2 linked regions of the Ovis aries genome follow. The protein of the gene in region 2 binds, or shares a complex with, the protein of the main gene of each other region. Links are inferred from orthologs where the notes say so. Each region holds a gene or a part of one and is shown on either strand. Other genes may lie near its edges.

What was found.
Region 1: the proteins of CCKBR (region 2) and GAST are in contact, whole or in part, in a cryo-EM structure (PDB 7XOW), measured with the Homo sapiens proteins. The link is inferred for Ovis aries from reciprocal best matches to the Homo sapiens genes CCKBR and GAST. Residues at the interface, in NP_795344.1 of Homo sapiens: Cys107, Pro114, Asn115, Gly118, Thr119, Phe120, Met134, Gly135, Val138, Tyr189, Gln204, Cys205, His207, Leu222, Val349, Tyr350, Ala352, Asn353, Arg356, Pro361, Ala363, His364, Leu367, Ser368, Ile372, His376, Tyr380; in NP_000796.1 of Homo sapiens: Glu85, Ala86, Tyr87, Gly88, Trp89, Met90, Asp91, Phe92.

The regions. Positions count from the first base shown.
Region 1 is NC_056064.1:41,660,334-41,664,081, reverse strand, and holds GAST (gastrin), read right to left. Parts: upstream 2,424-3,748; 5' UTR 2,370-2,423; intron 633-2,369; 5' UTR 628-632; coding exon 417-627; intron 271-416; coding exon 167-270; 3' UTR 84-166; downstream 1-83. UniProt on the Homo sapiens protein: Gastrin stimulates the stomach mucosa to produce and secrete hydrochloric acid and the pancreas to secrete its digestive enzymes. It also stimulates smooth muscle contraction and increases blood circulation and water secretion in the stomach and intestine.
Region 2 is NC_056068.1:46,513,903-46,517,650, forward strand, and holds the start of CCKBR (gastrin/cholecystokinin type B receptor), read right to left. Parts: upstream 2,811-3,748; 5' UTR 2,718-2,810; coding exon 2,567-2,717; intron 1-2,566. UniProt on the Homo sapiens protein: Receptor for gastrin and cholecystokinin. The CCK-B receptors occur throughout the central nervous system where they modulate anxiety, analgesia, arousal, and neuroleptic activity.

The DNA of each region.
Region 1 (3,748 bases), on a different chromosome or scaffold from region 2:
CTGGAGTAGTACTCAACCCTCCTCCCCAGCTCAGCCCTGCCCCAACCTGCATCCCCTGCCCTGTGACACTTGGCACAACTTGATCCATTGGAAGCTAGTTTATTTTGATGTGTGTTTCATGGGGCTGGGCTGGGCCAGGAGGTGACTGGGCTCCAAGGCTCAGTTCTCAGGGATGTTGGTCCCCTTCCTCAGCACTGCGGCGGCCGAAGTCCATCCATCCATATGCGGCTTCCTCTTCCTCCACCCATGGCCCCTGCTTCTTGGACAGGTCTGAGGGTCAGAGGTGGGAGAGGAGGTGAGGATGGGGGAAAGGACATCTAGGCTCTAGAGACCGTGGCCAGGACCACCAGGCTTTGGGTGCTTTGGCCAAACCAGGCAGGGCGAGGCAAGCAGGGACGGTTGTCAGCAGCTCCTACCTGCGACCATGTGTGGCGGGTCCTGAAGCCCCAGCTGCCGGCGGGGGTGCGAGGCTAGGCCCAGCCGGTCCATCCTGAGAGGCTCCTGGCCCTTATTGGCCCCTGGAGCGACGGGCGCGTCTTGCAGCTGGGAGTGGGGTTTCCAAGAAGCTTCGCAGAAGGCGGCCAGAGCCAGCACCAAGATCAGCGCATGAGCACACAGTCGCTGCATCTTGTCTGCAAAGGAGAGAGGGACTGAGCTTAAAGGTGGGGTTGTCCAGGCACCCGGGGGCAGGGTGGACCCTCCTCCCTGCCGACAGGTCAGCAATTCTCCATGGGCTTGTGGACCGTTCCTCCTGGTCCTACCATCTCCTCCCCTGATCCTCCAATCTCAACCTTTGCCTTTTTTAAAGGCAAGGAATTTATAACTCAGAGCAAGGCTTTCCAAACTGTTCTGTAGAATTTGAGGCCATGTGAGTGGCTCTATAATGTTAAAGTCTTGCGGTTTAAGTGAACTTCTAAATACTAATATGGATGAGATATACACACTCAGAAGCACACAGCATCTCTTTGAAGCCCACAGCAACTTCACTGCATGGTGGGGTCCCACTGTGGTAGGGAAGTTTCTCCCGCCATTCTCATTTAACTAAGGACTATCCTCTGATTTTTTCCAGGTGATGCTAGTGGTAAAGATCTCGCCTGCCAATGCAGGAGACATAAGAGACACGGGTTCGATCCCTGGGTCAGGAAGATCCCCTGGAGGAGGGCACGGCTACCCACTCCAGTATTCTTACCTGGAGAACCCCCATGGTCAGAGGAGCCTGGTGGGCTACAGTCCATGGGGGTCGCAAAAAGGTGGACATGAACAAAGTGACTTAGCATGCACATCTCCTCTGATTACAATCTACCAGTTGAAAAAAAAAAAAAGACCCGGAAACTGTCACCATTTGCAGCTCTGTATCAAGGTGAGCCAAGTTTGGGAAAACCAGAATACAAAAATAAAATGGATGCTCAAACAAATCTAAAATTCTATTCTGAGGATTCGAAAGTTTCATGTTCTTTCAGCCTCATTGTTCTGATTGGCTATATTGAAAGCAAATGATAAGAATATTGCCTTCAAAGAACACATTTGTATACATGAAATACTTTTTTCATCTGTTTTCTCTGTTAAATTTCCTTTGGGAGAGGAAGGGTTCTTCTGCTAAAGACACAAAGTTGAAAAATCTATGCTCTAGAGCAATGCTGTCCAATATGGCAGCCTCCAGGCACAGGTGGCTCTTTACATTTAAATTAGTACAAAATTAAAAATTCCCTGGGACTCCCCTGGTGGTCCAGTGGCTATACCTCAGTTCACAATGCACTGGGCCCAAGTCTGATCCCTGTTCAGGGAACTAGATCTCACATCCTGAAACTAAAAGTTCGCAGGCCTCAGCTAAGACCTGGGGCAGCCAAATAAATAAATGAAAATAAAGATTAAAAGAATTCCTCCCTCACACAGCCATATTTCTAGCACACATGTGGCTGGCCAGTACTGTATCTCACAGTGAGGCTATGGAACAGTACCACCATCATGGAAAGTTCCATGAGGCAGTGCTGGTCTATGAAATAGCTTGAGATGAGTTCCAGTTCCAATCCTGTCCAATTTGTATGACTTTGGGCAAGTCACATCTCCTTCTGGGCCTCAGTTTTCTTACCTGAGAGATGGGAGGATAGCCTTCATCCTAACCCCTCAGGGCTGGGGTTAGCATGGCGCCAGAGAGTCAGGGCAGGGCCCTGGCTGAGAGAGTGGGGCAGCTCGAAGGCAAGGGTTGGGATGCCAGGGTGGATCCTAGAGCTGAGACCTAACCCAGCTCTGGGCTAAAGGAAGGGTCTCAGCCCCGGAGACACTGAGATGTGAGCCTGGTAACTTAATGAGGGTAGGGGTCCCATCAACCCTCGTCCCAGCCTCTCCCCTCCCTTCCTGGGTGGTCTCACCTGCGGAGCTGGGAGGTGGGTGATGCTGGTGTTGGCCCGAAGCCTCACTCCTCCGCTCTGCTGGGTGTTCCAGCCCTGACTTATAAACCCTCAAGGCCCCTCCCAAACCTCTCCCCCTCCCAGGAGGGGAGGCTCCCCAGTGCAGAGGAATAGGGGTGGGCACAGGTGCCTTACCCCCGCCCCACCCTGTCCTCAATCGTCATCCGGATGTGGGGGAAGAGAAGGGGAGCTGACCTTCACGGTGAGGGGTAGGAGCAGGGTGGGGGCAAGTTTTTCAGCTGGACATGAGGGCGGGTGGGAGACAGACAACCTGGGGTCAGGGGTACAGTCCCTTGCCGTGTCCTTAGGGTCAGACACCTGCTGATCATCCCTTGGACCACATCCCATTTAGATGAACCAAGTGACCTTAGATTCAGAGAAAGCGTGTTTCACGACAGGTTGATGTTTGAAGAACAGGGAGTGTGTGAGTGTGGAGTGAGGTATTGATCCTCTGTCCCCTCTGTCAGGCTCTGCAAACAGGATGTGTCACGGTTATCAGGAGCAATGGGCCGTGGGCTGATGGCCCTCCTCTCTCTGCCTGGTGACTGCATCCTGGTTGCCTCTGAAGCCCCTTCACCTGATTTACCTGGAGAATCCTGAGTGTCCCCCCTCCCATGCCCTTGATGCTCTCTGCACTGAGCTGGATTTAGCTTGTGGCTCCCTATCATTTCTCAAGTCTGCCCCTCCTCCCCTACTCCTTCCTACCCCCACCCTGCCCTCAGCCAGTTCCCTGAGGCTCGTACACTTCCAGGCTCCCTCCCTCATTTTGTTTTCAAAGTGAGATATTAATCTGCACCTTTCAATATAAAAATACATCTTAAAGTGGTTAACAAACAGACTAAAGCGTTTGCCAGAAAACCAGAAAATCGAGTGGTATGTTTAGTTGACTTATTTGATAAACTGCTGCATTGACCTGGTTTGGATGGATGTAACTAGCTCTAGGCTGTGTTCGATTTTTCCACAGTTGAGACTAGAGATTTTGCTTTTGTTCATGCGTCAACAGGCCCCCTCCCTGTCTGGGGGAGTTTTGATGTCCCTTGGATCCTGTATAAGGGGCTATGGTACCCACGCTCACAGCCAGCCTTACTGAGAATTAATAGGTGATGAAAGAAGCAGGCTGTGAGGTGTCCATGGCAACCAGTAGCCAAATGTTCTGATAAATAACCAGTCTCTTCTGGAGCAGGACTCAGTGACTCAGCAGATGGAGTACATGAAAATGACAAAAACGGGGCAGACCTTGTTGATAATTAATTGAATCACAGAATCTCAGAGATGGAAGGGACTTTGAGGGGGCTTGGGAGGAAAGGTGGGGTGGGGAGCAGCTCTGCTCACATCCTGGG
Region 2 (3,748 bases):
TTTTTTTTTTAAATCTGACACAATCTTTGTATGATTTAATCTAGTTTCATGGCTTTCATTACCTCCTCTAGACAAACAAAAACCTTTCAAGTCTTCCTTTCCAGCTTGTACCGCCCAGATCCTTGGATTCAACAGCTTACTGGGCAACTCCACCTGGATATTTCACTGGCATTTAAACTCAGTGGGTTCCAAATTGAATGGATAATCTCCTCTTTCAAATGTTTCTGCTTCCTTATTATCCTCAATATACAGCACAACTACCCAGTTGTCTAAGCCAGAAACCTAGATGTCGCCCCTTGACCTCTTCTTCCCTCTCCGTTTCTAATAAATCATTAAGTTCGGTGGGTTTCACTTCCTGAAGTATCTCCCCAATCCATCCAGTTCTCTCCATCTCCACTGCCAGTAGCTCAGCCTAAGCCAGTATCCTGTTTCACCAGGGCCAGCGTAACACAGTAGCCTTCAAAGGGATGCCCCTCTGCCCATCTCTTGTCCTCCAATCCGCCCTCTTTACTACAGAACTAATCCTGGCAGCACGACTTCACCTTCCAGCAGTTCCCATTGACCTTGGGATAAAATCCATACTCCTTAGACAGTTCCACACATTTTTCTGGAGTCTCTCTAGGCTGGCCTTCATCCTGAGTGGTCACCATTCCTCTCTTATGGTACATGTTCCAGGCACTCAGAAACTGATACACTGGACGAAAGTGCCATGGATTTAAACTCTGGGTGTTTATACATACTGTTCCTCTGCTTGAGATGATTTTTGCCTTTTGTGCCCCTTCATCTGGCTGACTTTCCCTCAGGTTTTTTCTTCTTAAATTTTTCATTGGAGGATAATTGTTTCACAGTATTGTGCTGTTTTCTGCCATGAATCAATATGAATCAGCCACATGTATACAATATGCCCCTCCTTCTTGAACTTCCCTCCCATCTCCCACCCCTCCCACTCCTCTAGGTTGTCACAGAGTACTTCCCTCAGCATTTTAATTTCTTTTTCAATTTACCCTTTACCTCCTCAGAAGGTCAAATTTGATTCCCAAGGCTAAGCTAGGCTAGAGGTGCTCCTCATCTATGTTCCCACATCCCTCTCAAGGCACGTCCCTCGTTGTCTGGCAAATCCCTGCTTACTTGTCTGTCTCTCCGACTGAACTGTGAGCTCCTTGAAATAAGAACCGTGTCAGTTTTGTTTTACTCCTGTCCCTAGTGTCTAGCACAATCTCTGATTCAATAAATATTTGTTGAGTGAAAGTATCCAAGTGTAAGAATGAGAGAGTGTATAACAGTGAGCTGAGAAAGCCTTTGATATTTTATGGAGGTAAATAAATCCTTCAATTACAATTTATTCCCACTTTCCCTTCTAGAGCTTGGAATAATTTCCTTCTGCTTAATGCTGTTCCCTCTCCTGGAATCCCACTTATTACTTTTCTGCCTCCTGAACTCCAGCTTCAAGGTTCCCTCTGTGAAGTTTTCAGATCTCATCTCCTTTGGGTGCCCACAATTTGGTCCCTCTTATGGGAATTCTAAATGCTGACTGTGGTTTCTCCCATTGGTTTTTGTCTCTTTCCTGCATTGAAGATGAGAGTCCAGACTGGCTCTAGTTTAGTCCTGTGTGTCTGGCACCTAGCCTAGGGACTATAGTAGCAGCTGTCTAGTAACCACTTAAGGAAAGAAAAGGTATGGGAAGGGGAAATATGACTGGAGCTGGGTCATCAAGAAAATGTAGATGTGGAGTGAAGGGAGGAGTGAAAGTCATTTCAGGGACTGGGTGAGTGACAGCAGCCTGCGGGTGGGAGGGAAAGGTGGCCCAAGGGGCGGGATGATGAATGGGGCAGCCAGGCTCTAGAAGGGTGAAACCTAAGGAAAGGCAGGTTGGAGAGGGGGCTTGGAAGGGACCTAGAGACATTACTTGGAGACACCAAAAGAGAGAGGGTATAGAGCCTTGAGAACTCCAGCTTGGGAGGCAAGGAGATTTGAGGAAGAGGGCAAAGGAGATCAGCCCCCAACCCAACATCCAGCCTAATTCAGGTTAGGGGATCTCTTGGGGAAGGCAAGGAGTTGGGGCGGGCAACACAGGAGACTGTAATTGTTTGTAACTGACTGTAACTTCCCATTCAGGTCTTCCAGACCGCCTCTGCCAGCAGCCAGCCCCCTTCATCCCCCCAGTCTTGCCTTTCTTCCTTCCTTTCCTTTCCCATTGAGGCTGCCTGAACTGACTGCAAGAGGAAAGGAGACTTGGAAGGGATTGGCCAGAGGAGGTCCTTGCCTTTCCACTGTCTCTGTCTAGCAGTGGGCTGTGTGTTGGTGAAGGTGATGCGTTTTGGGGGTGACCAAGAGCTCTGGGGGTGGCGAGGGGACCAGGGTGTGAGGGGACTGTGACCAGGTAGTGTGAAGCTGTGATGGAGTTCTATGAGCTGTGGAGGACAGATGTGTCAGGGGAGCTGTCTGGGGACGGAGGGAGTACTATGAAGGGATGGTGTGGGCGTTTGAGGAGGCTATGGGGGCCTCCGTGAGTGTTGTGGGGTGCAGTGAGAAGGAGCTCGCGGAGGGGGCTTAGGGAGGCACCCACCTCGTGTCCCGGCTCCGCGGATGCGTGGGGGCTCACAGCTGAGGTTGCCGGTGCCGCTGCCGTTGAGGAGGGGGCCCCCCGGGCGGCACAGGGAAGCTCCCGGCCCGGGTCCGGATCCCAGCACGCTCCGGTTTGGCTTCAGCAGCTCCATGGCCACGGCTCAGCCGCCGCCTCCCAGCGCTCGCCCGGGCGAGCTCCCGCTGCGGCTCCACCTGCTCCCGCCGCGATTCCGGCTGAGGCTCGCGCCCCGCCTGGTTCCCGCCCCCAACCTTGGCCCCTGTCCCTCCGCTCCTCCTCTGCGCGCCCCGCCTCTGCTCGCCTCCCTCCCAAGCTCGGGACCGCCTCTGTCCAGCCAGGTGACTCTCCGTCCCGCTCTCCTGCTCCTGACTTACCCGCGCCCCTCCGCCCCTCGCCCGGGGGCTGTCCTGCCTCCCGCCCAGGGGGCCTGTCCGCACCCCACCCCTCAGATTTCTCCCTTTTTCTCTTAGAGATTTCCTTCCCGCCCAGTCCCCTTCACCAGCGTCCCGGTTCCAGGGAATTCTCAGGAGCGTGTGTATCTGTGTGTGTGGGCGAGGTTTGGGGAGAGGTTAGTAGTGGATGGAGAGGTTGCGAGGAGGGAGGCTGGGTAAGAAGGCCGCGTTAAGGGGACAGGGTAGGGCGCGGCTGCCGCGGGGTTTAGCATCTTTTCCTGGTGGGTCGGGGAACCAGGAGGTGGCCACCGAGACGCGGGGATCACTGGCTGCGGCGCAGACGCCTTAGCCCGCGGGAAGCGCCACGGTACCCTACTATGCCGCAGTGGCCGCAGTGACCGCGACACCATCGCTGGTCGTTCCCTGCAGCTCTTCGCCTCGGGGCAGGGGCAGCCCCTGCTTCTGTTCGCCGCACCCTCACCTCCTACATCAGGCCCAACACACAGGCTTCCACGCAAAGCGCCCAAGGAACCCTCCCCAGCGGGCAACGATGGGAATGGGGCAGCATTCCCGCCCCGCTGGGGAAAAGGGCTGCCTGGAGGAAGAGTGACTTGGGGATCGAGGGGCGCCCGGGGTAGCGGCGAGAACTCCCCGGGATAAACAGGAGTGAGGTGGGGTGAAGGTGGGGTATGGTTCGGTTCCCAGCCCAGCGCAGGCTTAACCCAGGAGGAGGCGGCGGGCTTTCTCTGTGGTCTCCAGGCAGCGCCCACCC